Linked DNA regions of Anolis sagrei. The protein of the gene in region 1 purifies or fractionates together with the protein of each later gene. This does not show direct contact. Links are inferred from orthologs where the notes say so. Each region holds a gene or a part of one and is shown in the gene's direction. Other genes may lie near its edges. The genes, in order: RUVBL2, NOP58, EPC2 and NOPCHAP1.

The links.
Region 2: the proteins of RUVBL2 (region 1) and NOP58 purify together in Homo sapiens (affinity purification with mass spectrometry; 5 studies listed by BioGRID and IntAct, with this or other methods). This does not show direct contact. The link is inferred for Anolis sagrei from reciprocal best matches to the Homo sapiens genes RUVBL2 and NOP58.
Region 3: the proteins of RUVBL2 (region 1) and EPC2 purify together in Homo sapiens (co-immunoprecipitation; 4 studies listed by BioGRID and IntAct, counting the BioPlex papers as one, with this or other methods). This does not show direct contact. The link is inferred for Anolis sagrei from reciprocal best matches to the Homo sapiens genes RUVBL2 and EPC2.
Region 4: the proteins of RUVBL2 (region 1) and NOPCHAP1 purify together in Homo sapiens (affinity purification with mass spectrometry; 4 studies listed by BioGRID and IntAct, with this or other methods). This does not show direct contact. The link is inferred for Anolis sagrei from reciprocal best matches to the Homo sapiens genes RUVBL2 and NOPCHAP1.

The regions. Positions count from the first base shown.
Region 1 is NC_090026.1:28,230,780-28,239,060, forward strand, and holds the start of RUVBL2 (ruvB-like 2), read left to right. Parts: upstream 1-4,585; 5' UTR 4,586-4,651; coding exon 4,652-4,666; intron 4,667-8,281. Other genes in the region: BCL2L12 (bcl-2-like protein 12), read left to right, coding at 193-240. UniProt on the Homo sapiens protein: Possesses single-stranded DNA-stimulated ATPase and ATP-dependent DNA helicase (5' to 3') activity; hexamerization is thought to be critical for ATP hydrolysis and adjacent subunits in the ring-like structure contribute to the ATPase activity.
Region 2 is NC_090021.1:165,264,598-165,272,344, forward strand, and holds the start of NOP58 (nucleolar protein 58), read left to right. Parts: upstream 1-4,399; 5' UTR 4,400-4,546; coding exon 4,547-4,591; intron 4,592-7,747. UniProt on the Homo sapiens protein: Required for the biogenesis of box C/D snoRNAs such as U3, U8 and U14 snoRNAs. Part of the small subunit (SSU) processome, first precursor of the small eukaryotic ribosomal subunit.
Region 3 is NC_090021.1:206,271,924-206,279,860, reverse strand, and holds the start of EPC2 (enhancer of polycomb homolog 2), read left to right. Parts: upstream 1-4,584; 5' UTR 4,585-4,892; coding exon 4,893-5,045; intron 5,046-7,937. UniProt on the Homo sapiens protein: May play a role in transcription or DNA repair.
Region 4 is NC_090025.1:170,238,950-170,246,778, reverse strand, and holds the start of NOPCHAP1 (NOP protein chaperone 1), read left to right. Parts: upstream 1-4,343; 5' UTR 4,344-4,363; coding exon 4,364-4,433; intron 4,434-6,240; coding exon 6,241-6,327; intron 6,328-7,456; coding exon 7,457-7,593; intron 7,594-7,829. UniProt on the Homo sapiens protein: Client-loading PAQosome/R2TP complex cofactor that selects NOP58 to promote box C/D small nucleolar ribonucleoprotein (snoRNP) assembly. Acts as a bridge between NOP58 and the R2TP complex via RUVBL1:RUVBL2.

The DNA.
Region 1 (8,281 bases):
TGTCATGCCATTTGTAAAGGACGCTAATTCCTCAGGGCAGGTTGCATCCCGAGGTCCCAATTTCAGGATTTCCTTTTACATTGAAGGGGCTGTTGCCTGACTGAAGAATGTTTCAAAGACTGCACAGAATATGTTATATTGAGATGCTGTGGAAGTGACTGGCAATTATAATATGTATTTCTTTCCCTTTAGGAGAAAATTGTAAACCAAGAAGAAATATTTGACCTGCAGCTCGACTAGTTCTCAATCAGTGCCAAAGATGGGAGACAGAAGAGCCTTTGGGAGTTTTGTTTTTAAAAAATGACTGCTGGTGGAACTATTAGCTTTTTTTATTAAAAAAATCCTCAAGAAAGATTCCACTTCCTCCTCTTCCAAAGTGAAAGCCAATCAAGGAAAGAAGTTGTCTTATGAACACTAGGTAGAGTTTGGCTTTTACTGTACTTCTGGGATCAAGAAATCGGCATTGATCCGTTGTGAATGACATCAACAATTGCACTACTTGACGAACTGTGTATATAAGACAAGACAGTTCTTGTAAAATTTGGGTTTTTATTTTTGATGATGACACTTTAAATGAAGGAGAAAGGAAGAGTCAGACAAATTGCATGAAATTTTACTTTGCTAATGTAAAAAAAAAAGGACTTGTTAGATGTGCTGGTTTATTCTCTGCGACAGATTCCCCCAACCTGGTGCCCTTTAGATATCTGAATTACAGTCGCCCTACACGTTTGTGGATCCGACATTTGCGGATTTGATTAAAATGTTCTAGGATTCTCTCCATCCTCCAGTATAACTCTGTGATTAACTTTGTTGGATGTTGACTGTAGAGTCATGTTGGGAGGACGTAGAACAGGCATATGCAAACTTTGGCCCTCTAGATGTAGGGGGAAAAGGAAGGGGCCTGAGACTGTTAGGAATGATGGGAATTGAAGTCCAATACACCTGGAGGACCAAAGTTTGCATATGCCTGACATAGAACAAGGGTGTCAAACTCGAGGGCCACATCAGCCTTGAGGTTCATCGAGGGCCACATCAGCCTTGTGGTTGCCTTCAAAGGGCTGTTGAATCCATGGGTGTTGAATTCATTCATATATAGTGTCAACACTATCTATCTATCTATCTATCTATCTATCTATATACAAACACACACACACACACACACATATTGGTTAGTGCTCTTTAGTTTTTACCCAGTCTGGGTTGTCAGATGTTATTGAACAACTATAATCACTTTTGATTATCTGCTATACAGACTGTGGATAATGGAGATTGCAACCCAACAGCACTTGTCACCCTGAGGTTGGAAAGGTTAAAGGGCATTATATCCACAGGCCTTGTATCTAAAACTCCACTCTCCTGACTCAACAGGACAAACTGCAGCCTTTCAGATGCTGCTGTATCCCAACTCCCATCAACTCTAGACATGATGTCTCATGGTACGGAATACAGGAGTTGTAGTCCACCTTCTGGAGGGCCACATAAAAGGACATGGTGGGCCAGATTCAGCCCGCAAGCCTTGTGTTTGAAATGTGACCTCAGAGAGTCATACAGAGAACACCTCTCTAAAAACAAACTGTAGGTCTTCCATGCGATTCTATGGTCAATTTCACATAGTGAAAGTTCACATAGTGTCATGCTGGAGGATATCGAAATTCCTAGAGAGGTATTATCTGAAGTTTTAAAAAAGCCATTTATTTTTATTTTTCACTTTTGCCTAACCCCAGCAAATGTGAAAGGATGACTGTACAGCTCCCACCCTCCTTGACCATAGGCCAAGTTTTCCATGCTAATGCAAGTTGCATTTCAGATGATCTAGTGGACAAAAGATTAGGGAAAGCTGTACTTAAAAAAAAAGGAAATGAAACATTGAGATTTCTAGGATTAAAAGGAAGGACATAGTCCTCTCCTCACCCATGAAAATGTCATTGCTTTTTGGGACAGTGCAATATGTTGCTGTGTAACTAATTTCCAAATGCTACCTTATTCTCAAGGAAATATGCAAAGGGTTGTAATGTAAGAGGACCTTAAATTACAACCTTGTTCTGTGATAAATATCTCTGGAAATTGAGGCTTTCCTTAGAAGCTGTTTTATGGCAGTAGGATAAGCAGTAGCTCAAAGTAAGGCTTTTGTGCTCACTTTATTTTACATGTGCCAACTGTTGCTTTCCCAAGTTTTTTTTTATAAGAGTTAGTTCTGGTTTCTATGTGTGACTTTTCTTTGTTTTGCTGTTTTTAAATATATATATATTTATTGTGTTGTTTTATTGCTTGTTAATTTTCTTGATTTTATGGGAGCTTTTGAAAAGTGGAATCAATACTGTAAGATCCCTATAAACATGGAACTTATATCCATGGCTTCACTTATCCACAGCAGAGGAATAATGGTCTCTCTCTGGGAATTTGCTAGGTTTTCCAGGTGATTCTATAGTATGCTTTCCCTGGAAGTTACCATAGGGTTGCATTGGAGGACCTAGTGAATTCCTAGAGATTATATTTCTATAGCAGTAGTTCCCAACCTGTGGCTTGCCAGGTGTTTTGGCCTACAACTCCCAGAAATCCCAGCCAGTTTAGCAGATGTTAAGATGTCTGCGAGTTGAAGGCCAAAACATCTGGGGACCCACAGATTGAGAACTACTCTTCTATAGGAATCTCTAGATCCTCTAGTGTAGTGGTTCTCAACCTGTAAGTCCCCAGATGTTTTGGCCTTCAACTTACAGAAATGCTAGCAGCTGGTAAACTGGCTGGGATTTCTGAGAGTTGTAGGCCAAAACACCTGGGGACCTACAGGTTGAGAACCACTGCTCTAGTGCATCGCTTTGATATGGAAGTCATGTGATTTAATGGCATTCGGTTATATCCCAGTGGATATGGGGGTCCTACTATACATGGAAAATGTATCCTGTTCAAAATGTACTTGCAAGCTACAAACAATGTGAAAACACAGTGTGAAAATGTACAGAATTTTACTGCAAATCTCTTAATTTATCCCACAAACTCAGGGATTTGGGTGTGTTTCTGTGAAATGCCGAAAGCTTCTCTGAAGCACTGTTTATTTTAAAATAAAATATTTTAATCTGAAAAAAATCCTCAAAACTTTTATTGGTAGATGTTGCTTCATTCTTGATAATTTCCCCTTTTGTCACATCAGTTTTCCTTTTGCTTTGTGCATGCTTTCATATAAAATTTATCGTATGGCTAACTATATTTAAACAGGACTTTTTTTGAAGTGGTTTTCAACTGAAATGAAGGCAGAAAGAACCCTAAAGTATGGTGTCATAAAATAGCAATGTTCACTATAAATTTCCCAGTAAAGCAAAGAGTTAGAAGTAGATAACTAGAAATATACCGCCATAGAAACAGTTAGAACATGTGTTTGCGTTTGAACATGAGTCTCCTTGTAGAGAAAAAGTGGGGTAGCAGAAAAAGAAGGGAAAGGAAGGAAAGAAAGGGTGAAAGAAAAAGGAGGGAAGGAAGTGAAAGGAAAGAGAAAGGATGAGAAGAAAGAATCATAGAATCAAAGAGTTGGAAGAGACCTCATGGGCCATCCAGTCCAACCCCCTGCCAAGAAGCAGGAATATTGCATTCAAATCACCCCTGACAGATGGCCATCCAGTCTCTATTTAAAAGCTTCCAAAGAAGGAGCCTCCACCACACTCCGGGGCAGAGAGTTCCACTGCTGAACGGCTCTCACAGTCAGGAATTCTTCCTCATGTTCAGATGGACATGTAGTTTGAAGCCATTGTTTCACGTCCTAGTCTCCAAGGAAGCAGAAAACAAGCTTGCTCCCTCATCCCTGTGGCTTCCTCTCATATTTATACATGGCTATCATATCTCCTCTCAGCCTTCTCTTCTTCAGGCTAAACATGCCCAGCTCCTTAAGCCGCTCCTCATAGGGCTTGTTCTCCAGACCCTTGATCATTTTAGTCGCCCTCCTCTGGACACATTCCAGCTTGTCAATATCTCCCTTAAACTGTGGTGCCCAGAATTGGACACAAGAAGGGATAAAGGAAGGAAGAGAGGAAAGAATGAAGAGGTGAGAAGCTGTATGAGGTAGATGGAGGAAGGAGGGAAGCTGCAAATAGAGTATGTCTACTGTTGCCATGGAAAAATTGTGAGATGGGCCTTCTCAGAGCTGGAGAAGGGAGAAAGCAGGCCTGGGCAACAATGTGGATGTCAAATCCCAGCAGTCTAGCACATGCATGGGCAAACTTGGGCCTTCCTCCAGGTGTTTTGGACTGCAACTCCCACAATTCCTAACAGCCGGTAGGCTGTTAGGAATTGTGGGAGTTGCAGTCCAAAACACCTGGAGGAAGGCCCAAGTTTGCCCATGCTTGCTCTAACATAATTAGACAGGTTGCATTATGTCTAGCTTCTTAGATATTTAACTCATTAATTAATTATCAGGGTAAATAAACATAACAACATTTAAAGCCTCTTTTAATAAACTGGTAAAGAGACTTCACAGACACCTTGTACACAGCTGAGCTGGAATGACTATTACTACAGCAAGGACTACTGGAGGACTGAGGGAGCATAGACGTTGCCTCGGACAGAGCGCCCTGAAAGCTGAGGCCGCTTCCTGTTTCCGGTGCTGAGGAGGCAGGGCCGGCTGCCGCTTAGAGACGGCGCGAGAGACGGCGGGAGCAGCAGCATGGCAACGGTGTCGGTGAGCGACAGCCTTGTTTCCCTCCTTTGAAAATACCCGGATCATCCTTCTTTTATACGAGTTTAGCATCTGATTACTTTCTTTTTCTTCTAACTTGTGAGAGGAATGCCAGAGCAAGCATTCCCCGGTTTTGTTGGGAGTGTAACTCCCATCATCACCTCTTATCTTTGGCTATGTAGTTTATCAGAGGCCTGCAGTGTTGTAGGTGTATTACTATACTTTAGAATAGGCTTGGGCAAACTTGGGCCTTCCTCCAGGTGTTTTGGACTCCAACTCCCACCATTCCTAACAGCCTCAGGCCCCTTCCTTTCCCCCCTCAGCCGCTTAAGCGGCTGAGGGGGGAAAGGAAAGGGCCTGAGGCTGTTAGGAATGGTGGGAGTTGGAGTTCAAAACACCTGGAGGAAGGCCCAAGTTTGCCCATGCCTGCTGTAGAATGAATGCAGTTTGACACCACTTTATCAACCACAGCCCACTGCTGTTGAATCCTCGTCGTTGTCATTTTAGAAGTCCTTTAGACTTCTCTGCTTCAACAAACTACAACTCCCAGTATTGCCATGGCAGTTTAAGTGCTGTCAAACAGCATTAATTCTACTGTGTAGATTGCCTGCTGCTTGTGGCCACTTATTTCTGTGTACGAACCCACATGATCTCTTCGATCATCTGGAGAGGCCCTACTCGCGCTCCCACCTGCATCGCAAGCGCAATTGGTGAGGACAAGAGAGAGGGCCTTCTTGGTGGTGGCCCCTCGACTCTGGAACTCACTCCCTAAGGACATCAAGTATGCCCCAACTCTGGCAGTCTTTAGGAGAAGCTTGAAGACGTGGTTGTTCCAGTGTGCTTTCACAGAATAATGAACCATTAGCACACGGGTCCTTAAACTAAGGCCCGAGGGCCGAATATGGCCCCCCAAGGTCATTTACCCAGCCCTCACTCAGGGTCAACCTAAGTCTGAAATTAGGTTCTTGTGGGTTTTTTCGGGCTATATGGCCATGTTCTAGAGGCATTTCTCCTGACGTTTCACCTGCATCTATGGCAAGCATCCTCAGAGGTGAGGGTCACCTCTGAGGATGCTTGCCATAGATGCAGGCGAAACGTCAGGAGAAATGCCTCTAGAACATGGCCATATAGCCCGAAAAAACCCACAAGAACCTAGTGATTCCAGCCATGAAAGCCTTCGACAATACATTAAGTCTGAAATTACTTGAAAGCACACAACAACAACAACAACAACAACCCGCCAAAACAACAATCTCATCAGCCAAAAGCAAGCCCACACATACCACTGGAATACTAATAAGTTTATACTTGTTAAAATGGTTCTTCATTTTAATTATTGTAATGCTTTAAAGTGGGTTTTTTGCACTACAAATAAGATGTGTGCATAGGAATTCATTCATTTTTTTCCCCAAATTATAATCCAGCCCTCCAACAGTTTGAGGGACTGTGACCTGGCCCTCTGCTTAAAAAGTTTGAAGACCCCTGCCTTAGCATTATGTCCTCCAAAGCACTTTATACTGATTTAGGACTGCTTGTACGTTTCCCCAACGCCCCACCTCCTCTACCTTGTTCATGCCCAGCATTATTTTTAACTTAATTACATTTGGCCCAGCCATAGTTTTTAAATGTGTTTTGTGCCACTGTTCAATGTTTATGCTGTTTTGTGTATGAGATTTATTTTAATTGCTTTGTATTAGTATTTGTATTTTGTTTTGTTTTGTAATTGCTATTGCTTGTATTGATGTATTGTGGTCTCGGCCTCATGTAAGCCGCACCGAGTCCCTTGGCAGATGGTAGAGGGGTATAAATAAAGTATTATTATTATTATTATTATTATTATTATTATTCCATCAGCCCACTTTGGTTGGGATTAAATGTTTACTTTTAAGATGTTTTATTGTATTTTGATAGAATTGTTTAATTGATATGTCATCAGCCCACTTTGGTTGGGATTGAATGTTTGCTTTGAAGCTTCTTATTGTATTTATATTTGAATTGTTTAATTGGTATGTCACGTTTAGTACCGTATGTTTTAATTGATAATTGATATGCTAATTGTTTAAATTGATATATTTTATATGTGTAATGCGGCATTGTATGCCATGGTCTGAAAGCAGCCCTGAGTCCCCCAATTGGGGAGAGAAGGGTGGGGTATAAATGTAGTTTTATAATAATAATAATAATAATAATAATAATAATAATAATCAGAACCAATGCAATTAAGGCCTGGATTGAAAAATCAGCTGATGGTCCAAAAAGTAGACTGTGCAAGGAAGCTGATGAAACCATAGATCATATCCTCAGTTGTTGCAAGAAAATCGCACAGATGGAGTACAAACAAAGACACAACTCTGTGGCCCAAATGATTCACTGGAACTTATGTCACAAGTACCACCTGCCAGCAGTAAAGAATTGGTGGGACCATAAACCCGCAAAGGTTGTGGAAAATGAACATGCAAAAATACTGTTGGACTTTCGAATCCAGACTGACAAAGTGTTGGAACACAATACACCTGACATCACGATTGTGGAAAAGAAAAAAGTTTGAATTATTGATGTCGCCATACCAGGTGACAGTTACACTGAGGAAAAACAGCAGGAAAAACTCTGCCACTCTCAGGACCTCAAAATTGAACTGCAAAGGCTCTGGCATAAACCAGTACAGGTGGTCCCAGTGGTCATTGGCGTACTGGGTGCCGTGCCAAAAGATCCCAGCCGGCATTTGGAAACAATAAACATCAACAAAATCACGATCTATCAACTACAAAAGGCCACCTTACTTGGATCTGTGTGCATCATTCGAAAATACATCACACAGTCCTAGACACTTGGGAAGTGTTCGATTTGTGATTTTTGATACGAAATCCAGCATGTAGATCTCGTTTGCTGTGACATACTGTGCTTTTGTGTCAGAATAATAATAATAGATTCTTCCAAAGAGGAAGATATTATAGCGTAAGTGGTTCGTATACTTGTCTAGTCCTCCCAGGCCTCTTCCAGACAGCTGTGTGAAATCCACATTGAGCTGGATTACATGGCAGTGTGGATTCAGATAATCAGTGGGTTCATTTCTTTTGGGAAAAAAAATCAAGTTTCTGGATTCAGAATTCATTCATCCAAAAATATATCTTTTGCACTTGACTCTCAGCAGCAGTGTTGCAGATGCTACTAACATTTAAAGTAGACCCACAAGTGTAAAGCCTGCTGTCCGGTTTTAAACCATCTAAGGGCCCTTCCACACAGCCATATAACCCAGAATATCAAGGAAGATAATTCACAATATCTGCTTTGAGTTGGGTTATCTGAGTCCACACTGCCATATAATCCAGTTCAATGTGGATTTAATACAGCTGTGTGGAAGGAGCCTAAGAAGATGGGTTTGAGTTAGAATGAATGTAGTTTGACACCATTTTAACTGCCATGGCTCAATGCTATGGAATCGTGCTTTGGGGAGGTACCAGCATCTTTTGACACTGAAGGTTAAGGGCCTTGTAAAACTGCAGTGTCCATGAGTCCATAACATTAAGACACGGCAGTTCAGTTGGGGTGAAATGGCATTAATTCTGCAGAGAACGGAAAAGCCTTATCTGACATTAATTCTAGACACCAATGCTCTTA
Region 2 (7,747 bases), on another chromosome or scaffold:
ATTCTTGTGATGAAAACGAAATGGATCAGTACAACCAGAGATATGTCGGTATACCATCGGAAGATGGGACTCCCAGGTTGGAAGATAGTCAAAATTCTACTGGTGAGGAACAGAGGATAAATTCAACTAGCCCCAGTTGTGATGATGCAGGTAGCTCAAAGCTGAAAGGAAGTCTAGGGGCCGACGGTGCTGGAGGTGAACAACAAATCCGATGTTCTACAGATCAGCACACTCTAGGAATCTGGAATGTAAGATCTATGAGCCATGGCAAACTGGATATTGTTATTGGTGAGATGTCAAGACTAAAGATAGACATTCTGGGGGTCAGTGAACTGAAATGGATTGAAATAGGCCACTCCATAACAGATGACCACCAGATTTACTACGATGGACATGAGGAACACTGAAGAAATGGAGTAACCCTCATAATAATAATTTATCTATATATAAATGCTCTGTGCATAATGAGTACCTTAAAAACAAAAGAACCAATGAACAAAATCACACCAAATTTGGCAACAAAACGTCTCACTACACAAGGAGTGACCATCACACTCAAAAAATTATGATTTTGTCATTTGGGAGTTGTAGTTGCTGGGATTTATAGTTCACCTACAACCAAAGAGCATTCTGAATTCCACCAATGATGGAATTGAGCCAAACTCGGGACACAGAACTCCCATGACCAACAGAAAATATTGAAAGGGTTTGTTGGGCATTGACCTTGAGTTTGTGTTGCAATCCAGAGCAGGGAACGAGGCCCTAAGATTACTATCCACCACACTTGGCTGTGAAAAACAATCCTTTTTTATTGAAGAAAAATGGTTACAAAATAAAGGAAAAATGCAAGTCAAAAGCCACAGCAAAATCAGCAAACATTAATTTAAATGGACAAAGCAAAACCAAAAGCCTCACTGGGATATACTGGAACCTGTTAGCAATCCACTAACCGTACTTGATATCCTAGAATCTTCCCAAACTATGGCCAGGGAACCGGGAGAACTGCCAAGGTCTTAATCAATTCTGAAACGAAGCCTGAACTGAGACAATCAGCCCGGCGTGCAATTAAAACTCAAGAATTCGTTCCGTGAACCGCCCTTCTTTTTTGAAGCCAATGTTTTTAATTCTTGAATTAGGGAGGATCGACGCAAACTGAGTGATTTACTTCTGTCTTCCCAAATTTGGCCCCTTCTGTTGTCATTACAGTTAGCAGGTGAAGAAGGGAGGGAAATTTCAAGGTCTCCCTCTGAAACGTTCTCATGAACACTGGTACTTTCATTTTCCAAATCTACAGAAGTTCCTTCCTCACTAATTTCAGGAACATTGGCATTTTCCAAACCTACAGCAGTTTCTTCCTCACTAATTTCAGGAGCATTGGCATCAAAAGGTACATTTCCACTAGCATCAGTAAATATACTTTCATTAGCATCAGGAGGAACAAACAGAGAATCAGGTTCAAGTTCAAACTCAGGCTGAACCCCAACAGTTTGGGAGTTGTAGTTCACCTACATCCAGACAGCACTGTGGACTCAAACAATGATGGATCTGGACCAAACTTGGCACAAGCACTCAGTACGCCCAAATATGAACACAGATGGAGTTTGGGGAAAATAGACCTTGACATTTGGGAGTTGTAGTCACTGGGATTCACAGTTCACCTACAATCAAAGAGCATTCTGAACCCCACGAGCAACTGAATCGGGGCAAACTTCTCACACAAAACCCTCATGACCAACGGAAAATACTTAAGACCATCCAATCCAACTCCCTTCATCAGGGCAAGAAAACTTAATCAAAGTCCTCCTGACAAAGAGCCATCCAGCCATAGACAATTCCAGAGGTTATCCAGAAGAGATAAGGAACTATTTTGAAACAAGCAATGCATGGAAGTGGAAGAAGACAATAGAGTAGGACGTCCAAGAAACCTCTTCCAGAAAATTAGAAACATCGGAGGTAAATTTCAGGTAAAAATGGGCATGATCAAAAACAAAGATGGCAAGGATTTAACAGAAGCTGAAGAGATCAAGAGAAGGTGGCGAGACTATACAGAACATCTGTACAGGAAGGATAATAATATCGATGACAGCTTTGATGGTGTGGTGAGTGAATTAGAACCAGATATCCTGAGGAGTGAGGTTGAATGGGCCTTAAGAAGCATTGCTAATAACAAGGCAGCAGGAGACAACAGGGATTCACAGTTCACCTACAATCAAAGAGAATTCTGAACATCACGAATGACAGAATCAGGGCAAACTTCCCACACGGAACCAATAGAAAATGGCCAATAGAAAATACTTAAGGCTATCCAGTCCAACTCCCTTCACCAGGGCAAGAAAACGTAATAAAATACTGTTTACCCACAAGCAGAAAGAAATGACATATATTAGAAACCAACACTTTCTCATTACTTTATTTATATACTTTATATACTTTATAATCATTACTCATTATACAGGGTTAGTCAAAATGAATAGGCCAATAAGAAAATTAATTGTAGCCGAATGTATGTTTACTGTAACCAAACCACAGCTACGTAGCGACAGATAAACTATCAAAGTTTTTTTGAGCAACACACATGTACGTTAATGCCGCTAGGCGTCGCTAGGAGTCGCTGTTTTCAAAATGGCGGAATCAGGCAAAGAGAAGGCGTTTTGTGTGATGACATTTGCTAAAACAATGTCAGTAATTACGGTCCAGCGAGAATTTCGAGCCAAGTATGGCAAGGAACCACCTCATCGACATTCCATTGCGAGGTGGGTAAAGCAATTTGAGGAGACGGGCTGCTTATGCAAGGGTAAAACCACAGGACGACCGCGTGTCTCCGAAGACACAGTGGAATCCATTCGTGCATCCTTTCAACGAAGTCCCCAGAAGTCGACAAATCGTGTTGCCATGGAATTGAACGTTCCGCAAAAAACTGTGTGGCGCGTGTTACGCAAACGTTTGCAGTTCAAGCCGTATAAATTGCAAATGGTGCAGGCTTTGAAAAAAGGTGACTATTCGAAACGACACGATTTTTGCGAATCAATGCAGCGAAGACTAGAGGAGGAAGGCTTTGCCAACAGACTGGTCTTCAGTGACGAGGCAACGTTTCACCTGTGCGGGAAGGTCAATAGGCATAATCTCCGCTTTTGGGGATCTGAAAATCCTCATGCCGTATTGGAACATGTAAGGGATTCGCCGAAGGTAAACGTTTTCTGTGCAATAACCAACCGTCACGTGTTTGGCCCATTCTTTTTCGCGGAGAAAACCGTAACAGGCATAGTGTACGCTGACATGTTGTCTGAATGGTTGATGCCACAGTTAGAAGAGAAAGTGCCCGATTTCGTATTCCAACAGGACGGTGCCCCTCCGCATTGGCACAACAGTGTATGCGAGTACCTCAACGAACACCTTCCCAGACGTTGGATTGGCCGTGCTGGAGTGACTGATCTTCCATTCCTCCTGTGGCCCCCCAGGTCCCCCGACCTCACACCATGCGACTTTTCTTTCTGGGGGTATGTGAAAGACACTGTGTTCCGACCTCCATTACCGCTGACCTTGGACGACTTAAAACAGCGCATATGTGCTGCATTCGATGCCATTACGTCAGATGTGCTGCAACGGATGTGGAATGAACTGGACTATCGCTTGGACGTCTGCCGTGTCACACGGGGCGCCCATATCGAACATCTCTGAAGGTGAGACAAAACTTTGATAATTTATCTGTCGATACGTAGCTGTAGTTTGGTTACAATAAACATACATTCGTCTAAAATTAATTTTCTTATTGGCCTATTCATTTTGACTAACCCTGTATTGTCGAAGGCTTTCGCGGCCGGAATCACTGGGTTGTTGTAGGTTTTTTCGGGCTATATGGCCATGGTCTAGAGGCATTCTCTCCTGACGTTTTGCCTGCATCTATGGCGTCCTCAGAGGTAGTGAGAAAGTAACTTTCTTATTACTTTATTTTCCAGATCACCAGACTGGGCCACAGCTACGCATGGCAGGGGACGGCTAGTGTGCAATATTCCAGGATCTGATCCCAGATTATCTGTTTATCCCAGATTTTCTGGCGGTGTAGACTCACTTAATCCAATTCAAAGCAGATATTCTGGGATCAGGTCGTGGGATCTCAATTTTGGAATAATCCCACTCTCTTCATCTCTATTCTCAAAAGCGCCCTTCGCCAAAGCGTGGCTGCAATTTCGCTAAATTTGTATTTATTTGCTTTTTTCCCCTCACAAGATCATGTCTTTCTTTAAATAAATACACAAAAAAAGTCCTGTTAGTAGTTTGTATTGAATCTCGACTCGAGAACCCGACGTCAAGGTCGGACACTATGAAGATGTAACCCTTAGGGTTTTTTTTTTTATGTCCCCGCCCACTTCCACCCTCAGCAGCTTTCCCAGAAGGCCCCGCGAGAAGCATTTCCGGCGAGGCGCCATTTCCGCTCTCGTGCGCCTGTTTCTTTGCGCGCGTGCTTCGTACCTGGCAGTCGGGGGCTCGCGCGCCCGGCTCTCTCTTGGTTGTTCCTGGGGAGCTCCGTCTTCGGGCCGGCGCCGCCATGCTGGTTCTCTTCGAGACGGCGGCCGGGTACGCCATTTTCAAGGTGAGCGCCGCGCTTCCTCCGCCATGTGCTCCCTCGGCCGGGTAGAATTGGCTGGGCAATCCAGCTTTAGAGGCGTCTGAGGGGAGGGAAGGCCTTTACATCCGGGAAGGGCTTTCCCTTCCCGCCTCAGTACTAATTTGAAATAACTTCAGCTTTCCTTGGGAGTAGTATTGTTGTATAATATGTCCAGAGTCAGTACAGTTGGTCCTCCATATTCACGGATTCAACCTTTTGAAAACATTCCCAAATCAAACCTGGAGGTTTGCCCTTTAATCTCAGGGACACACCATTTTGCGACCCCATTGTATGTAATGGGGCCTGAGCATCCACGGATTTTGGTGTCCAAAGGGAGTAATAGAGTTGGCCTTCTAGTTCAACCCCCTTCTGCCATGCAGGAAAAGCACAATCAAACTACCCCGACAGATGGCCATCCAATCTTTCACCACATTCCGAGGCAGAGAGTTCCACTGCTCTTACAGGCCTCCTTCCACACAGCTGTATAAAATCCACATTGAGCTGGGGTATATGGCAGTACGGACTCAGATAATATGGTTTGCTTTAAACTGGATTGTGGATTATCTGCCTTTATATTCTGGGGCTCCTTCCACACAGCTGTACAAAATCCACATTGAGTTGGAGTATATGGCAGTATGGACTCAGATAATACACAAACGCAGCGCCCAAACACGAATCAAGGAACATGAAAGGCACTGCAGACTGCTTCAACCAGAGAAGTCAGCCTGAGCAGAGCACCTGATGAACCAACCTGGACACAGCATATTATTTGAGAACACAGAAATGCTGGACTACTCTCACAACCACCATGTCAGACTACACAGAGAAGCCATTGAAATACACAAGCATGTGGACAATTTCAACAGAAAGGAGGAAACCATGAAAATGAACAAAATCTGACTACCAGTATTAAAAAACTCTAAAATTACAACAGCAAAACAACAGAGAGGAAACAAACAAGGACATCTAATCACCCCTCAACAAAAGTTTGCTCCAGGCACAGTCAGCCCATTGTATGGTAATCAAGGTGCTCAGTTGAAACATTCACACCTAGCTCCAGCAGTCAAGAGTCCTTTGTCTCACCCTGGTTATTCCACAGATATATAAACCCTTTTTCCTAGTTCCAACAGAACTCACTACCTCTGAGGATGCTTGCCATAGATGCAGGTGAAACGTCAAGAGAGAATGCCTCTAGACTATCGCCATACAGCCCGAAAAAACCTACAACAACTCAGATAATACGGTTTGCTTTAAACTGGATTGTGGATTATCTGCTTTGCTGTTCCAGGGCTCCTTCCACACAGCTGTATAAAATCCACATTGAACTGGGTTATACGGCAGTGTTAAGTCAGATAACCCCAGTTCAAAGCAGATACTGTAGATTATCAACCATGATATTCCGGGTTATATGGCTGTGTGGAAGGACCCACAGACAGAATGTTCTGGAACCAAAGACCCAACACATACTAAGGGCACACTGTACAGCAGGCCTCCTCAAATATCAGCCCTCCACCCCTCAGAAGTCCTATCCAGCTTGTTCAGTGGTGAGGGATTCTGGAAGTTGGTGGCCCAAATGGGTGGAGGGCTACCATTTGAGGAAGTCTGCAGTACATTATACTGTCTTAATTCAAGCTAGCAGTCTCCTCAGGCAAGTACATGTATCTTCTCTATTGTAAGACAGAAACTGAAACAAACTAACTTTATATAAATTCATTAAATTTAAATCTCAGGACTTCATTGCATTGAGCCATGGCAGTTAAAGTGGGGTCAAGTTACATTAATTCTGCAGTGTAGATTCACCCTGTGAAACCCATGGTTCAAATTTCTACTCTGCCCTGAATTCTACAGCTCATTTTAGAGAACCATATATATATGGTTCAAATGGTACCCATGGTTCAAATTTCTACTCTGCCCTGAATTCTACAGCTCATTTTAGAGAACCATATATATATGGTTCAAATGGTACCCATGGTTCAAATTTCTACTCTGCCCTGAATTCTACAGCTCATTTTAGAGAACCATATATATATGGTTCTCTAAAATGAGCTGTAGAATTCAGGGCAGAGTAGAAATTTGAACCATGGGTTTCACAGGGTGAATCTACACTGCAGAATTAATGTAACTTGACCCCACTTTAACTGCCATGGCTCAATGCAATGAAGTCCTGAGATTTTAAGTTTAATGAATGCCTAACACTCCTTGGCAGAGGAGGCTTGCTAAACTACAACTCCCAGGATTCCGCCAAGGCTGTTTAACTGGGGTGAAACTTTATTATATCCTCCATCTTAATCACTAGGGCTCCTTCCACACTGCCCTATATCCCAGGATCTGGTCCCAGATTATTTGCTTGTCCCAAATTATCTGGCAGTGGAGACTCATGCAGTAATCCAGATTAAATTGGGTGATCTGGAATCAGGACCTTGAATATAGGGCAATATAGAAGGAGCCATTCAGATAAGGGATTATATGGCAGTGAAGATGGGGCCTCATGGTTTGTATCATCACTAGCCTCTTCTACATTGCCATATAGTCCAGAATATCAGAGCAGATACTCCACATTACCTGCTTTGAACTGGATTATATGAGTATACTGCCATATAATCCAATTCAAAGCCAATAACCTGGATTTTATGTGACAGTGTAGAAGGTTGCATCAATTTCTGCCACCATACCTAGTTTTAGTTTTTCTTTGTGCTCGGAATGCTGTTTTGTATACAGTAGCTAGGTAAACAAAAATACAGATTTTGTGTATGGCAACCTACTTGATTGGGATTTTGCTAGTGATCCAACTGTGATGTAATGAGATTACTGCAAGATCGTCTGAAAAATAATGCTGGAAGTGGAGGAAAAAGTGAGTCTGGGAATTATGCCTACTGAACACATAGAGGTGAATAACATATGGTGCTTAGAACAGAATTGATTTTGCACTTGATACAGATATCTCAAAAAGGCATTTTCAGGTTGCATTATTCACTAGGTAGGGATGCTCTGTGGACAGTTTTCTTGTAATTTTGAAGTTGATGTTTGAGAGATACGCAGGAGTGGTCTGTTCAGTTAAGTAACAGGCCCTGATCTCCTCTCAGTTCTAAAGTTTCATGCAGGTTGTGTTTTGCCCCGAGTTTCCCTGGAAAATTCTATAGA
Region 3 (7,937 bases), on another chromosome or scaffold:
TCTCTTTAGCTATATCTTTCTAGTTTCTATCTAGCTTGTAAAATATGCCACCAAAACAACCTCCTAAGTCTTTCAGTTAATTGGCAATTCAGTTATCTTTCTGGCTGTTAACAATAGATTTGTAAGAACTCATTTACAGACAACTAGAGGCAATGAAGGTGTGACTAAGATTCATTGTAATGATAACTTAAGAAGTAATGTGTTGTCCAAGGCTTTCATGGCCAGAATCACTGGGTTGCTGTGAATTTTCCAGGCTGTATGGTTATGTTCCAGAAGCATTCTCTCCCGATGTTTCACCTGCATCTATGGCAGGCATCCTCAGAAGTTGTGAGGTCTGTTGGAAACGAGGTAATTAGGGTTTATATATTCAGGGTGAGAGAAAGAACTCATGTCTGTTTGAGGCAAGTGTTAATGTAACAATTGGACACCTTGATTAGCATTAAATCACCTTTCAGCTTCAAGGCTTGGTTGGTTGCTGCCCGAGGAAATCCTTTATTGAGAGGTGTTAGCTGGCCCTGACTGATTTGTGTCTGGAATTCCTATATTTTCTGAGTGTTGTTCTTTATTTACTGCGCTGATTTTGGAGGTTGTTTTTTTTTAAAAAAAATACTGGCAGCCAGATTTTGTTCATTTTCATGGTTGCCTCCTTTCTGTTGAAATTGTCCACATGCTTGTGGATTTCAATGGCTTCCCTGTGTTGTCTGACATGGTGGTTGTTCAAGTGGCCCAGTATTTCTGTGTTCTCAAATAATATGCTGTGTCCAGGTTGGTTCATCAAATGCTCTGCTACGGCTGATTTATCTGTTTGAGGTAGTCTACAGTGCCTTTCATGTTCCTTGATTCGTGTTTGGGCAATGCTGCAATGTTTGGGCAATGGTCCCTATGTAGACTTGTCCACAACTGCATGGTATATGGTAGACTTCTGCAGAAGTGAGAGGATCCCTCTTGTCCTTTGCTGAATGAAGCATCTGTTGGATTTTTCTTAATGAGTCTGTAGACCGTTTGTAGTTTGTGTTTCTTTATCAGCTCTCCTATGCAGTCAATTGTTCCCTTGTCTGGCAGTAAGCAGCCAGACTTTGAAGCTGAAAGGCTATTCAATGCTAATATAAGGTGGCCAACTGCAACATTCACACTTGTCTCAAGCAGACAAGAGTTCTTTCTCCCACCCTGGACATGCCACAGATATATAAATTCCTAGTTTCCAACAGACTTTTTTCGGGCTGTATGTCCATGTTGTAGTAGCATTCTTTGGCAGGCATCCTCAGAGGTTTCTTCTTGCACTACTTTGTGTGTCTTTCTGTCCAGTGGCCACTATAGAATGAATGCAGTTTGCCACCATCATTTTTAGCTGCCAAGACCCATTGTTCCGGAATCCTGGGAGTTGTAGTTTTACGAGCTCTCTAGCCTTCTCTGCCCGAGAGCGGCAGTGCTTCACCAAACTTCAATTCCCAGGATTCGATAGCATTGAGAGATGGACATTAAAGTGGTATCAAACTGCATTTATTCTACAATGTATATGCACCCTAACTTTTCAGCAAAACACACATTTGCTATCTCTATCTATTTATCTATCTATGTGGATTTAATGTCCATAATAATTGCATGATTTTTAAAAGCTTCTATCTATTATGTGCATTTATTTTTAAATCTGCCTTGGGCTATTTATGTGCACTTTGTCCCAAAGGACATCAGCTTGTAGCATCCAGATGCTTAAAGTAACTGATAATATTTACTTGTTAGAGAGTATTTAAGTGTTGAGAGACATTGCTAGGAGCAAGGGTTTTGGTATTGGAAAAGTGCTTTGGAAAATAATGAAAACCTTCCTATTAATGTGCAGCAAATCTCAGCCTCGGAGGAAGATGGCAAATCTCCATCCAATGAATTTTGTCAAGAAAATCCTGGTAGTTCCTATCAAATATTTCAAGACATAATTTGTGGGAATTTAAGGTGTAGTTAAAATAAAACTACACCTTAAAAGTCTATTAGCAGCTTAGCGGGTTAAACCGCTAAGCTGCAGAACTTGCCGACCGGAAGGTTGGCGTTTGAATCCGCAAGATGGGGTGAGCTCTCATTGCTAGCCCCAGCTTCTGCCAACCTAGCAGTTCAAAAACATGCAAATGTGAGCATAATAAATAGATAGGAAAGTAATGGTGCTTCATGCACTCATGACCTAGGAGGTGTCTATGGACAACGCCGGCTCTTTGGCTTAGAAATGGAGATGAGCACTACCCTCCAGAGTTGGACTCAATTAGACTTAATATTAAGGAGAAACCTTTACCTTTACATAAACTAAAAAAAAGTTTGATTGAAAATGTTTTTTCAATCAAAAGGAGTTACTTATAAATTTTAAAAAAGCTATGACAACTAAATTTGATATTTGAATCAGAAGCATAGCTATTTATTTTGAGAGTAGTTTTCTGAGCTGTCACTAGAGCACATACCACAATACCCACACTTTGCTTTCCCCCCGCATTGTTCTGCATCTCACCCATTTAGTGTCCTCGGTTATCATTCTGATGTTGTCTCCCTTCTTTTTTGTCAAGCAACCTTCATGCAACCTTCATGAAGCTAAACAGACCATACTGTTCGGCTTGGCTGAAAATAGTGCTCCAGCAACCCACGTTTGTCGAGGTTCTCTGTCCATATCAATCCTCAACCCCCATGTCTATTTTCCTTTGATGGCAATGACTGTGGCCAATGGCTTGTTTTAAGATCTATTCACTGTGTATCACGCAATATTACAAAACTGAGATAAAATGTGAAATTTTATCTCACTCTTCCACTTTAAGAAATATCAGAGATAGATAAGTCCTTTCTTAAAATGCTAGGCTCGTGTGCAGATGGCAAATAATTCAACACTTGTTTCAGTATAATTTTATGAGAATAAATGAAAGAGTGTATCTACACTGTAGAATGAATGCAGTTCGGCACCACTTTAATTGCCATGGCTCAATCTATATATATATTAGTCTGAGAGTGTCTCTCATATATATATGTGTGTGTGTGTGTGTGTGTGTGTGTATACATTTACTTTTTTAGTCTCTCTGAGTATCTCTCAATTATGTGTGTGTTTATATATATACTGTATATGTGTGTGTGTTTATATATATACACATATATGACAGTCTAAAAAAGTAATTATATATATATATATATATATATATAATTACTTTTTTAGACTGTCTGTCATATATGTGTGTGTGTATACACTTTTAGCCTCTGAGTGACTCGCAGTTGTGTGTGTGTGTGTATATATATATATAATTTACTTTTTTAGACTGTCTCTCATATGTGTGTGTGTATTTGCTCTTTTAGTCTAAGAGTGTCTCTCAATTATGTGTGTGTATATATATTACTTTTTTAGACTGAGTGTCTCTCATATATGTGTGTGTGTATTTACTCTTTTAGACTCTCAGAGATTGTCTCTTAATTACGTGAGTGTGTATATTTACTTTTTTAGACTGAGTGTCTCATGTATATATATGTATGTGTGTGTGTATTTACATTTTAGTCTGAGAGTGACTCTCATTTATATGTGTGTATATATATATGTATATAAAATTTACTTTTTAGAGTGCCTCATATGTGTGTGTGTATTTACTTTTTAGTCTGACAGTGTCTTTCAATTATGTGTGTGTATATATATATATATTAATTACTTTTTAAGTCTGAGTCTCTCATATATGTGTGTGTGTGTTTATTCTTTTAGTCTGAAAGTGTATCTCATGAGTGTATGTGTGTGTGTGTGTGTGTATATATATATATATATATATATATATATATATATATATACTTTTTAGAGTCTCTCTCATATATATATGTGTGTGTGTGTTTATTTACATACTGGCCATCCCCTGCCACACGTTGCTGTTGCCCAGTCTGTGTATGTGTTTTGTCTGTGTATTTGTGTATATATGTGGTTTTGTGCATGCATTGTATGTTTTTTTTAAGTCTCTTCTGCTGTGTTTTTCAGTGTTTTTATGAGTGGTGGTCACTCATTGGCCTGATAGGTGCCTTGTGTCCAGATTTGTGCCCCCACATTACTACCCATTGCACACACCATATCTATATATGTCTATTTATTTGTGTGTGTGTGTGTGTAGGAGAGACAATTTCAGACTAAAAAAAAGTAAATGTTAATTTGTCTATATAAATAAAAATGTAATGTTCATTTGTGGGATTAACATAACTCAAAAACACATATAGAGCTAAATTAACATTTACTTTTTGAGTCTGAAAGTGTCTTTGGTAAACACACACACACAAATATATATAGATATACAGTGTGCAATGGTTATTAATGGCTTTTCCCTGGGAGCATCCCAGTGTGGTCCATTCCCCTTAATTCCTCCAGCCTCTCTCTCTCTCATTCGCCCAGCCTTCCCTTTCTCTCTCCCCTTCGCGAGGCAAGGCTGCGCGCGCACCCTCCCCCCCCTCCTCCTCCTCTAGTCCCCCCTCCCTCTCTCCTTCTCTTTCTCTTTTTTTTCTTTCCTCCTCCTCCTCCTCCTCCTCCTCGGAGAGCGCCCCCTCCCCTCCCCTCCGCCCGCGCGCGCTCTCTCTCCCTCTCCTTCTCGTTCTGTGTGTGTGTCTCGCGCTCTCGCTCTCGCGTTGGCTGCCGGGATCGCTGGCCGCTTTGGTTAATGTCCGCCATGTTTGCCATGGCGCAGGGAGCGGGTCGAGCGCGGAGCTAGGGCTGCGGGCGGCTCTGGGCGGCGGGGCTCTCCATGGTGTGTCGGGCCGGGTCCGGGAGCGGCTGGGAGGCGGCGGAGGAGGCCGAGGAGGCGGCGGAGGAGGCGGGCGCGGCGCCGCCGTCGTCGTAGCGCAGCCCCCCTCCCTTCCGCGCCCCCCCCTCCCTGCCTGCCTCCGGGTGCTGGTTGTGAGGGAGCGACACCATGAGCAAACTCTCCTTCCGCGCCCGGGCGCTAGACGCCGCCAAACCGCTGCCCATCTACCGCGGCAAGGACATGCCCGACCTCAACGACTGCGTCTCCATCAACCGCGCCGTGCCGCAGATGCCCACCGGCATGGAGAAGGAGGAGGAATCGGTGAGCCAGGGCTGAGGGCCAGGGGCTGGGGTTGGGGCTGGGGGGGGGGGGCTGGAGTGCGCCGCCGCCGCCATTGTTTATCAGGCCTTTCCCCCTCCCTCCCCTCGCGGGGGAAGGAGGCCATTGGCATTCACCAAGCGCCGCTACGCACGCTCCCCGCCGCTGCGGCGCGCGCTCCCTATGGGGTCCTACGCCAGCGGCGCAGCGTAAGCCCCGCTCCGGCACCGTAAGCCGGGCCTGCCTCCGCCATCTTCTTGGCGGAGTGTTTTGATGAGCGGAGGTGGGGAGGGGGGGCCCTCGCGCTACTGCCGTAAGAGGAGAGCAGCGCAGGCAGAGGCCCTGAATAGCAAAGAGAGCGCGCCGGGCGCTGCTGGCGGAGAGCGCGAGGCCTCCAGCCCCGGCTCCTCGCCGAATCTTGATGCAGAAGGCCCTGCCTGCTTCCTTGCTTGCTTGTTGTGTCCATGCTGACGCCGGCTTGTGAAAGTTTAAAAGTAGCCAGGCCTTAGGGAAGTGAGGTGGTTTTTTACGTCCTGTTTCCACAGGATCGGAATGCAACCTCGTTGTATCTATGAGGCAGTGGATGTGTTTGTATACAAATGCACACACACACACACTGGGGCTTTGATGCGTTTCTGTATGATCGTTGAGTCTATTAGGCAGGGAATGTGTTTGTATACAAATGCACACATACACTAGTGCCCCCGTGAATTTGTGGATACTTTTAATGCAACAACGTTGTGTTTACTAGGCGGTGAATATGTTTGTATACACTCACTGGGGCTTTGATGCATTTTATGATTTTCATGCAACATTGTTGTGTCTATTAGGCATTGGATTTGTTTGTATACAAATGCACACACACTGGAGCTTTGATTCATTTATATATGATTTTCATGCAACATTGTTGTGTCTATTAGGCATTGGATATGTTTGTATACACATGCACACACACACTGGAGCTTTGATGCATTTCTGTGTGATCGTTGAGTCTATTAGGCAGGGAATGTGTTTGTATACAAATGCTGGATAGTTTTAATGCAACAACGTTGTGTGTTTACTAGGCGGTAAATATGTTTGTATACACTCACTGGGGCTTTGATGCCTTTTATGATTTTCATGCAACATTGTTGTGTTTACTAGTCAGTGAATGTGCTGTATACAAATGTGCACATACACTGGTGCCCTGGTATATTTGTGTATACTTTTAATGCAACAACATTCTGTTTACTAGGTAGTGAATATATTTATATACAAATGCAGACATGCACTGGTGCTTTGAAGTATTATTTATAATTTTAATGCAGTGTTGTTCTGTCTATTAGGCAGTGGATGTGTTTGTATACAAATTTACACATACTGGTGCCCAGGTGTATTTGTGTATACTTTTAATGCACCAATGTTGTGTTAACTAGGCAGTGGATGTGATTGTATACACATGCACACACACACTGGGGTTTTCATGCATTTCTATGTGATTTTAATGAAATGCCGTTGTGTTTACTAGTCAGTGAATGTGTTTGTTTACAAATGCACACATATACAGGTGCTTTGAAGTGTTTTGTTCTAAGAGTGGTTCTCAACCTGTGGGTCCCCAGGTGTTTTGGCCTACAACTCCCAGAAATCCCAGACAGTTTACCACTGTTGGGATTTCTGGGAGTTGAAGGCCAAAACATCTGGGGACTCACAGGTTGAGAACCACTGTGTTATAATTTTAATGCAACATTGTTGTGTCTATTAGGCAGTAAATATGTTTTTATGCAAATGCACACATATACTGGTGCCCCAATGTATTTGTGTATACCTTTAATGCAACAATGTGTTATTAGGCAGTTGATGTGTTTGTATGCAAATACAGATACTCATTGGTGCTTTGATGTATTTCTGTATAATTTTATGCAACATTGTTGTGTCTGTTAGGCAGTGAATGTGTGTGTATACAAATGTGCCCATACACTGGTGCCCTGGTATATTTGTGTATACTTTTAATGCAACATTGTTGTGTTTACTAGGTAGTGGATATTTTTGTATACAGTTACACACATATACTGGTGCTTTGATGTATTTCTGTATGGGTTTAAAGAAGCAATGTTGCAGCTACTAGGCAGTGAATATGTGTGTATGTATACAAATACATGTACTGTTTCGCTGATGTATTTCTATATGATTTTAATGAAACAACCTGTCTAATAGGCAGTAAATGTATTTGTATACAAATACACATATGTATTGGCACACTGATGGAGTACCTTTCCATTCTCAGGTTATAGGGAACAGGGAGTTTAAACTGTCAGTAGTTTTGCTTGTTTGTGTAAAACACAAATAAAAATGTCCTGTCTCTGTGATTTGTGCTTATACATGTTAGTAAACAATCTTTGCTTATATTGTTTCTTTCTGTAACTGAAACAAAATTGTTTGCACAATCCTGTACATGTGTCTTGCAGATCATTATTTTTACCAGACTTAATCCCAAACATATATGTGTAAGATCAGCAGGATTGTCGAAGTGGAATCAAAAACAGATCTTTGAGTTAGTGTACACTGATAGGTAGGAGGAAGAATTAGGTTTGTATTGTTCTTATTGTTTTTATCGATTTTATCGATTTTATTGGGATAATGGCTTGAATTGTGGGAACTTTGAATTGTTGTACTTTTGTGATGATTGTTGTGTGGCAGGCATCTAAGTGTGCCTTGCTGTTGTAAGCTGCCCTGGGTCCCCTTCGGGGTGAGAAGGGCGGGGTACAAGAACCCCAAATAAATAAATAAATAAATATGTGTGCATAAAATTGCAGCCTGAAAACTAATTGTCAAAGACCACTGGTGCAGTTGGAACTGAACTGAGTCTTGAATAAAGTTATTTCCTCTTGATAATTGAATTCATGCAATGTGCTGAAG
Region 4 (7,829 bases), on another chromosome or scaffold:
CACAAAAAATGTAAAAGTATAGATAAAGATGTACCTGTGAAGTTGTGGTTTGGCATATATCCTATTTTTGTAGACTGAACATTTGTGGTTTTAGCTAATTTTAGAATTACGAAGGGTAATAGCAGAGAGGAGGCCACCACTCAAAGGCCAGGCCCCTTCCACACACCCATATAACCCAGGATATCAAGGTAGAAAATCTCACAATATCTGCTTTGAACTGGGATATTTGAGTCCATACTGCCATATAGTCCAGTTCAAAGCAGATAATGCGAGATTTTATTCAGCTGTGTGGAAGGGGCCCCAGATATGTTAATTTTGAGGTTGCGTTTTTTTTGGGTTTTTTTTTTTTTTTTGCTTCTGTACCACGCTTGGCAAAAGACTATAAGAGTCTATCTTGTTTGATAATCGAGGAGTCAGTGTAATTTGGGAATTGTCTTTACCTCCTCTGACTCCAAATTACTCAATTTAAAAAAATAAACTTAAACGCTTTCCAGTTAGCCTGAGCCTCTTCGTTGTATTTTTGCTGCAACACAAGAAATGTTATCACTTCCAAATTTTCATATCTTTCACTAATATGATTTACTTACCTGCCTGAGTTTTGAGTCAAGCAGGGGTTTTCTTTTCTATGAACAGAGCTTCAAAATAGCTTGAAGTTTTCTGGTTACTCTGCACTTTATTGTATTTAAGTTATCTCTCTTACAGTTTCATTTTTGGAAAAGGAACTTTATGAGTATCTTGACTGATAAAAGTCTTTCAGCTACAAAGGAACTCTTGTAATATAATTCTGTGCATGTCTAATGATAAATTAATCCCATCAAAGTTAATGGCTTTTACTCCCAACTGGCCAGAGAATAAGTCCTATCGAAGTAAATGAGGTTTATTTTGTGGGATAAGACTGCCAGAGTGAACACTAGCAATAGTCTCTTCTCTTTCAAAGGTTGTATAGAATAGGGAATGTCAATAGGGAACTGCTTGTAATCTGGTTGCGTATCAAGTAACATCTGCTGGACTTTCCTCTTCTATACAACCACTAAAAGAGCCATTTCCCCTTTCCACTCTTGCTACAGAACATATGCTATCACTTTGTTAGACTGAATGTAAATACTTTTATCTCTGCAGTCAAACACAAGAAATACCGGTTCTGTGCGTTTACAGAAAATACACCTGTAATACAAGCTGATAGGACCGTGACATCATGAATCTACCTCTTCCACCCTTAATTCAATTTTTCTGTGCTAAAATAAAGCTCATATCTAAACATAAATATGAATTGCAATAAAATTAAAAATAATTAAAATGATGGAACGAGATGAAGAAACTATAGTAAAAGCATTGACATGATAAAAAACCTTATCAGCAATGGATTTGAATCATAAACAGCTTTGATGACCACTGGAAGAAAATGCTTTTTTAAACAGTACTTCAGCACATGTATATAATTTTTTTAAATATAATAGCCCCTTGGGTCTCTATATCAAGAGAAGGTGGGATAAAGCTAAGCAAACAACAAGAACAATAATAATAGTAGTAGTAGTGGCACAACAATTATCTGCTAAATCAGATCTTTTTAATATCTTTTAATACCTTTCAGACATTTTGTTCTGTTGTGCGCTGGGCCTGTAACAGCTGTACTTTTCTATAGGACATATACTTTAAGCCCAGCGGGAAGCCAGGGGGCCTCAAAGAGAAGTTCTCAGGGATTTTTCTGAAGTGATGGTCTTTAGAGTCTTTAATGATACAACAAAGTCTTTATTATGGAACAAACAACAAATCTTCAAAGGTTCAAATAACACTTCAAGGCTTTCTTAGTCCAGTCTGGTCTGGACTGGTACCTGACTTTGATCAACTGAACCTTCTCTGTAGGAAAAACCCCTTTTAACCTCTCACAGGCTGCTTTCTATCTATGCCTCATTGGTGTGGGTGCTACTACCAAATACAAGTGCGTCTGGGTATCAAGTAGACCTACCAGCCAAAGCTTGAAGATATTTCAGCTGGAGTTCAGTGGATCTGTAATGTTATCCTCCCTCCGAGAATTCTTTGAGAACTTCAGGGCTGTTTCCCTCTGATGCTGTGGGGCTGAGAGGCTGTGAGCGCTCAGCCAGAGCCTTTGGGACCTTTCCCCTGGAATTTCTGTTTCTGTATCCCTGAATGTTCCTTTTCCCTGGATGCTCTTAAGAAAGGAAGCTTTTCTATGGGACGAGCTGGTCTACGTCCTATAGCTTAGCTACCTTGTGTGAGACTGCCCAAAATGGCTCCTTTCCCTCCCAGAAGCCTGAACAAGGGGCGGAACCAAAGCTTAATTAAGATGGACAGGATGCCTGCCCTATAACTGCAAACTTTAAGAGAAAGAAATAAAGTTGGAGCTCCTGGTACAGCCGTACCAGCACACATTTTCATATGAGACCTTTCCTACAATGAGTACCCATGCATACTTATATCTGATTTACACTTCAGTCTCAAAATAAATTTAATTTTCATTTATTTTATTTTGAATAATAATACTTATGAAAATTTAATTAAACAATGAGACTTTGGAGTAGAAAAGCATAGGATTGGACCATGAATATAGTGCTTTGATTGTGTTTTTCCTGCATGGCAGCAGATTGGATTGGATGGCCCTTGCAATCTCTTCTGAATCTATTATCCTATGATAGTATAAAAATCTGTGCAAAGAACAATCTTGTCTTCTCTGCACTTTAATGTTCCTTTTGGATTCAAACCTCCTCACCCCACCCGTAATATTTTAGTAAGATCTGAGCTTGCTGGCCAAAAGAGAACAAATTAGTGTAATCAGATGAAAATGAAATGCATATGTTCAATAGAATATGCACAACTAAGAAACAGTCACATTTTATCTTCTACCTCCTTCCCAGATTAGGTTGGTGGGGACAAGAGACAGGGCCTTCTTAGTGGTGGCCTCTCGTTCATCGAACTCTCTCCCCAGATAGATTAGATCCGCCCCTCCCTCTTGACCTTCAGGAAAAAACGAAAACCATGGCTTTGGGACCAAACCTTTGGTCAGTAAATTTGAGCAGTGCGATAAGAGATTACAAAATAACACAATGACGAATAGAATAGCCCTAGAGTATGACTTGGCTTGTGTGATTTTAATTGATGTTTTAATGTTGATGTTTTTAATTGTTTTTTATTTTAATGAATAGTTTATTTATCAATATATATATATATATATGTATTTATCAATATATATGTGTGTGTAGCATTGAATCATTGCCTTTGTAAGGTCGCTCTGAGTCCCCTTCGGGGTGAGAAGGGTGGGATACAAGCAGGCCCGTAGCCAGGATTTCGTTTCGGGGGGGGGGGGTAATTTTTTTTCAGGGGGGGTTCGGGGGGGCTGAGTTTGGGGGGGGGGCTGAGTCTGAGTGAAAGAGGGTCTAGCCTAGCAAACCTTTTGTATCATTACCCCAATACCCCCATACATATGGGATATATTGAGTATGGCGATCAGATCATGATATGAATAAACATAACAGTTTAAATAATGCACCAGTAAGGCCTTTTCGCGAACCACCATGAGAATTTCGGGGGGGGGGGGGGCTGAAGCCCTTCAAGCCCCCCCTCCCCCTGGCTACATTTTCTGTTGGTCATGGGGGTTCTGTGTGGGATGTTTGCCCCAATTCTGTTGTTGGTGGGGTTCAGCATATTCTTTGATTCTAGGTGAACTAGAAATCCCAGTAACTACAACTCCCAAATGTCAAGGTCTGTTTCTCCCAAACTCCATCTGTGTTTATATTTGGGCATATTGAGTATTCGTGCCAAGTTTGGTCCAGATCCATCATTGTTTGAGTCCACAGTGCTCTCTAGATGTAGGTGAACTACAACTCCAAAACCCAAGGTCAATGCCCACCAAACCCTTCTAGTGTTTTCTGTTGGTCAGGGGAGTCCTGTGTGCCAAGTTTGGTTCAATTCCATCGCTGATGGAGTTCAGAATGCTCTCCGATTATAGGTGAACTATAAATCCCAGCAACTGCAACTCCCAAATGACAAAATCATAATTTTTTGAGTGATGGTCACTCCTTGTGTAGTGAGACATTTTGTTGCCAAATTTGGTTCTTTTGTTTTTAAGGTACTCATTATACACAGAGCATTTATAGATAGATAGATAGATAGATAGATAGATAGATAGATAGATAGATAGATAGATAGATAGATAGATAGATAGATAGATAGATAGATAGATAGATAGATAGATAGATAGATAGATAGATAGATTAGACTCGTAGCCATCCAATAACCTCGTTGTCCTGTAGGTGGCGCTACCACAGAAGCCTCCAGATTGCTTTGTGCTGCTCCCTTCTGCTTTCCTCTCTCTTGTTCCGGTTTCATTTGGAAGAGGAGGAGGCGAATGGCGTGCAAAGAAGGCAGCGTGCCACTGAAGGTGTCCCAAGACCTCCTTTCTGTGGGGAGCCGAGGAGGTAGCTGAGGTGGAGGGAGAAAGCATCCTGCATATTGGCTCTCACCCTTTTCCATTCCTTTGGCTTCATTACTCAGTATCCTGCTTTTACAGCTATTGGTGCCCTCTCTACACTGTAGAATTTAATGCAGTTTGATCCCATTTTAACTACCATGGCTCAATACTATGGAATCAGGAGATGTTGTAGTTTTACGAGATCTTTAGCCTTCTCTGGCAAACCTTTAGCCTTCTCTGCCTGGTGCCTTACCAAAGTACAACTCTCATTATCCCATAGCATTGAGCCAGTTGAAATTATATCGAACTGCATTAATTCTACAGTGTAGAGCAGGCGTGGGCAAACTTGGGCCCTCCAGGTGTTTTGGACTTCAACTCCCACAATTCCTAACAGCCTACCGGCTCTTAGGAATTGTGGGAGTTGAAGTCCAAAACACCTGGAGGGCCCAAGTTTGCCCATGCCTGGTGTAGAGGGCAACTGAAGTCTTATACATTTAATTTTTGTTTGTGTCAGGAGCTACTTGAGAAACTACAAGTCACTTCTCATGTGAGAGAATTGGCTGTCTGCAAGGACATTGCCCAGGGGACGCCTGGATGTTTTGATGTTGTATTTCCTTGTGGGAGCATGGAGAGCTGGAGCTGACAGAGGGAGCTCACTCACGCTCTCCCCAGATTTAAACCTGTGCAAAGGTTTAACCCATTGCGCCACTGGGAAGTTGTACATGTCTTTTCATATTGTAATACACATATTCCTCATGGCCTTGAATAATGTGCTGTATTGTCTATATTTGTTGCTGTTAAACTTTTCTGTTATGTGCACTTTTAACTATTTCTATTAACACTTTCATAAGGCATCTTGAGCCCTAGAGGGGCAAAGAGATATAAATGAATAAAATAATAAAATATGGATATTACTTATATTAGAGAGTGTACTGTTTAGTAATATTTCAGATACATGAAAATGAATTGTACCTTCAGTGCTGCACTACTATTACCTGTAGTATTCAAATATCACGAAATAGTGCTGCATGGAGTATAGCTCCATCTACACTGACAATTTAATTCATTCGGAAGCTAGCATCAAACTGCAACAGCCAAGCAAGAAACACCCATGAAAGCATGTAAAAGAAAGCCCTTAATGGACATCAGTTTGCATAATCGCCATCTAGACCTCAAACTGATTCCAGAATTTCATATGTATTGTTTACTATTTAGTTACTATATTTCTGTCCCACACCATCTCACCCTGAAGAGGACTCAGAGCGGCTTACAGTTTGGTAAAATTCAATGCCACATAATACATAAGGGGGGGGGGGGGGAAGCAGTACATAACATAATCAATAGACATATAAATACAAATTAAAACCATTAAAACATATTAAAACATATTAAAGATATTAAAACATCATAAAATATATTGAACATTACACCAATCCTATAGTCGTCATTTGGCTGTTTCATTTATATCTGTATCATGATTAAATGTTATACTGCAATTCTGTCACTCAGCGAATGCCTGCTTGCTTACACAACCAAGTTTTAACTTTTTTCCTAAATACCAGGAGGGAGGAGGCTGATCTGATCTCACTGGGGAGGGAGTTCGTGTGCACAGCCAAAGCACTTCCTTCAAAAACTTGTTTGAAACTGCATTAAATGGTCTATATAGATGGGGGCTATGTGACAAATACATTTAGTGTACTAGCTTATCTGCAATATGGTAAAGTCCCCCCCCCCCCCCCATACACACACACACACGTACAAATAGTACAGTCAGTGTGTGCCTACTCAACTGATGTGAAGTTTCTGGATTACAGGTATTCATAAGAGACTGCTGCTCAATTCAAATCATGCTAAAAAGAAAGCCACAAGCTTACAGACAGCCAGACTGCCAAGGAGCAATAGTAAGTACTGAACATCATTAAGGATGTTTCATCTGTAGTGCAATAATAGCCTCAATGTTGGAAATAGCAACCTTCCAAGCCTCCACTAACTGTTTGTTAATGTATACAATTGTTAACCTGTATTCTATGTGTATGTTGATTTTCCAGTTTGGCTGACCTCTTTGATATGGGAGGAGTTATACATGTGGTTATACTGAGCATGTGCAAACTCAGGACTCAATTTTGTGTTTAGTATGCTTTTGAACATTGAAGGTGAATGTTTTCTTTTGGAGGTAGATGTATGCTTATGGACTTCAATGCGATAAGTTTGGTTTCAGACCTCATTGGAGGTGGATGTGTGTGCTCATGGATTTGAGTAAGTACAGATATACTTAAAGACACTTAAAAGACTATGTTTTTGTATACTGAATATATACAAGTTTCTTAGTAAACAAGATATGTTATTTTTCAAATAAGACTGTTTTGTCTCTTGAGTACATGTTTTAAGGGCGTGTATATCTTTTAGGCAACCGCAATTACAATTGCAAATTCTACTTCAAACAACCATCCTCTGCTAACCAGATACATTTTTGTAGTGGCCTGTCTTTATTCTTGGTCGTTTAAAGACGTGGATCTCAGTTTAACAGCTGAGCAACTTGTATGTGCTATTACATTAATACTTTATGAATATGAATTGTCTTAAGGGTTGACTTCTAACAAGGCCCACCATACTTGACTTGTGGTTTTTAGATGATCTCTATGTTCAGGGAGATTTTGCCAAACAGAGGTAACATCATATCTACCTTTGCAATGAGGTTATGGTGCACTGGAATTTCCAATAGATTATGGACTTTACAATACTCAAAATATGTGCAGTGGATCTTTGGAACGGCCCCGGATTATGATTTGGGGATGGGGTGATTTTAATAGTGAATGCAATGTTTTATATGTTTTAATGTGCATTTAATTTTAATTTTTAACTTAAATTTATTTTAACTATTCAAAGCCATTGAATAGTTGCCATATGTAAAGCCGCCTTGAGTCCCCTTCGGGGTAGAGAAAGGCAGGATACAAATAGAGTAAATTCTCTGCCCACTTTTCCTACACAGAAGTACATTAATATTTCTACAAACACTTTTTCATATTTTAGTTTTGGATAGAGTCCAGACCTTTCTACCACAGATGGCCAGTGCAAATGACAAGCTAAGGAAACAAATGGACAGCACATCCATTGAAGAGTTTGATATTGAACACCTAGATCCTTCTACTGAAAATGTAATTGAAATGGTGAGTGTATTAGTTTTTTTTATTTTTGTAACCCAAATCTTTGTCTTTGAATGCTTCACTTTTTTTACAATGTTGAAAAATAATTCGCCTTGCATCTCAAATTCTTTAGTGTATGCTATCTAACGAATGACTGCTTGCCTTATAGCTACCTCAAATCTAAACCTTGTTAGTTTATTATAAAATTGTTGCACTCCAGACCAGGAAAAGCCCTCTGACTTTAAACACCACACAGTTGA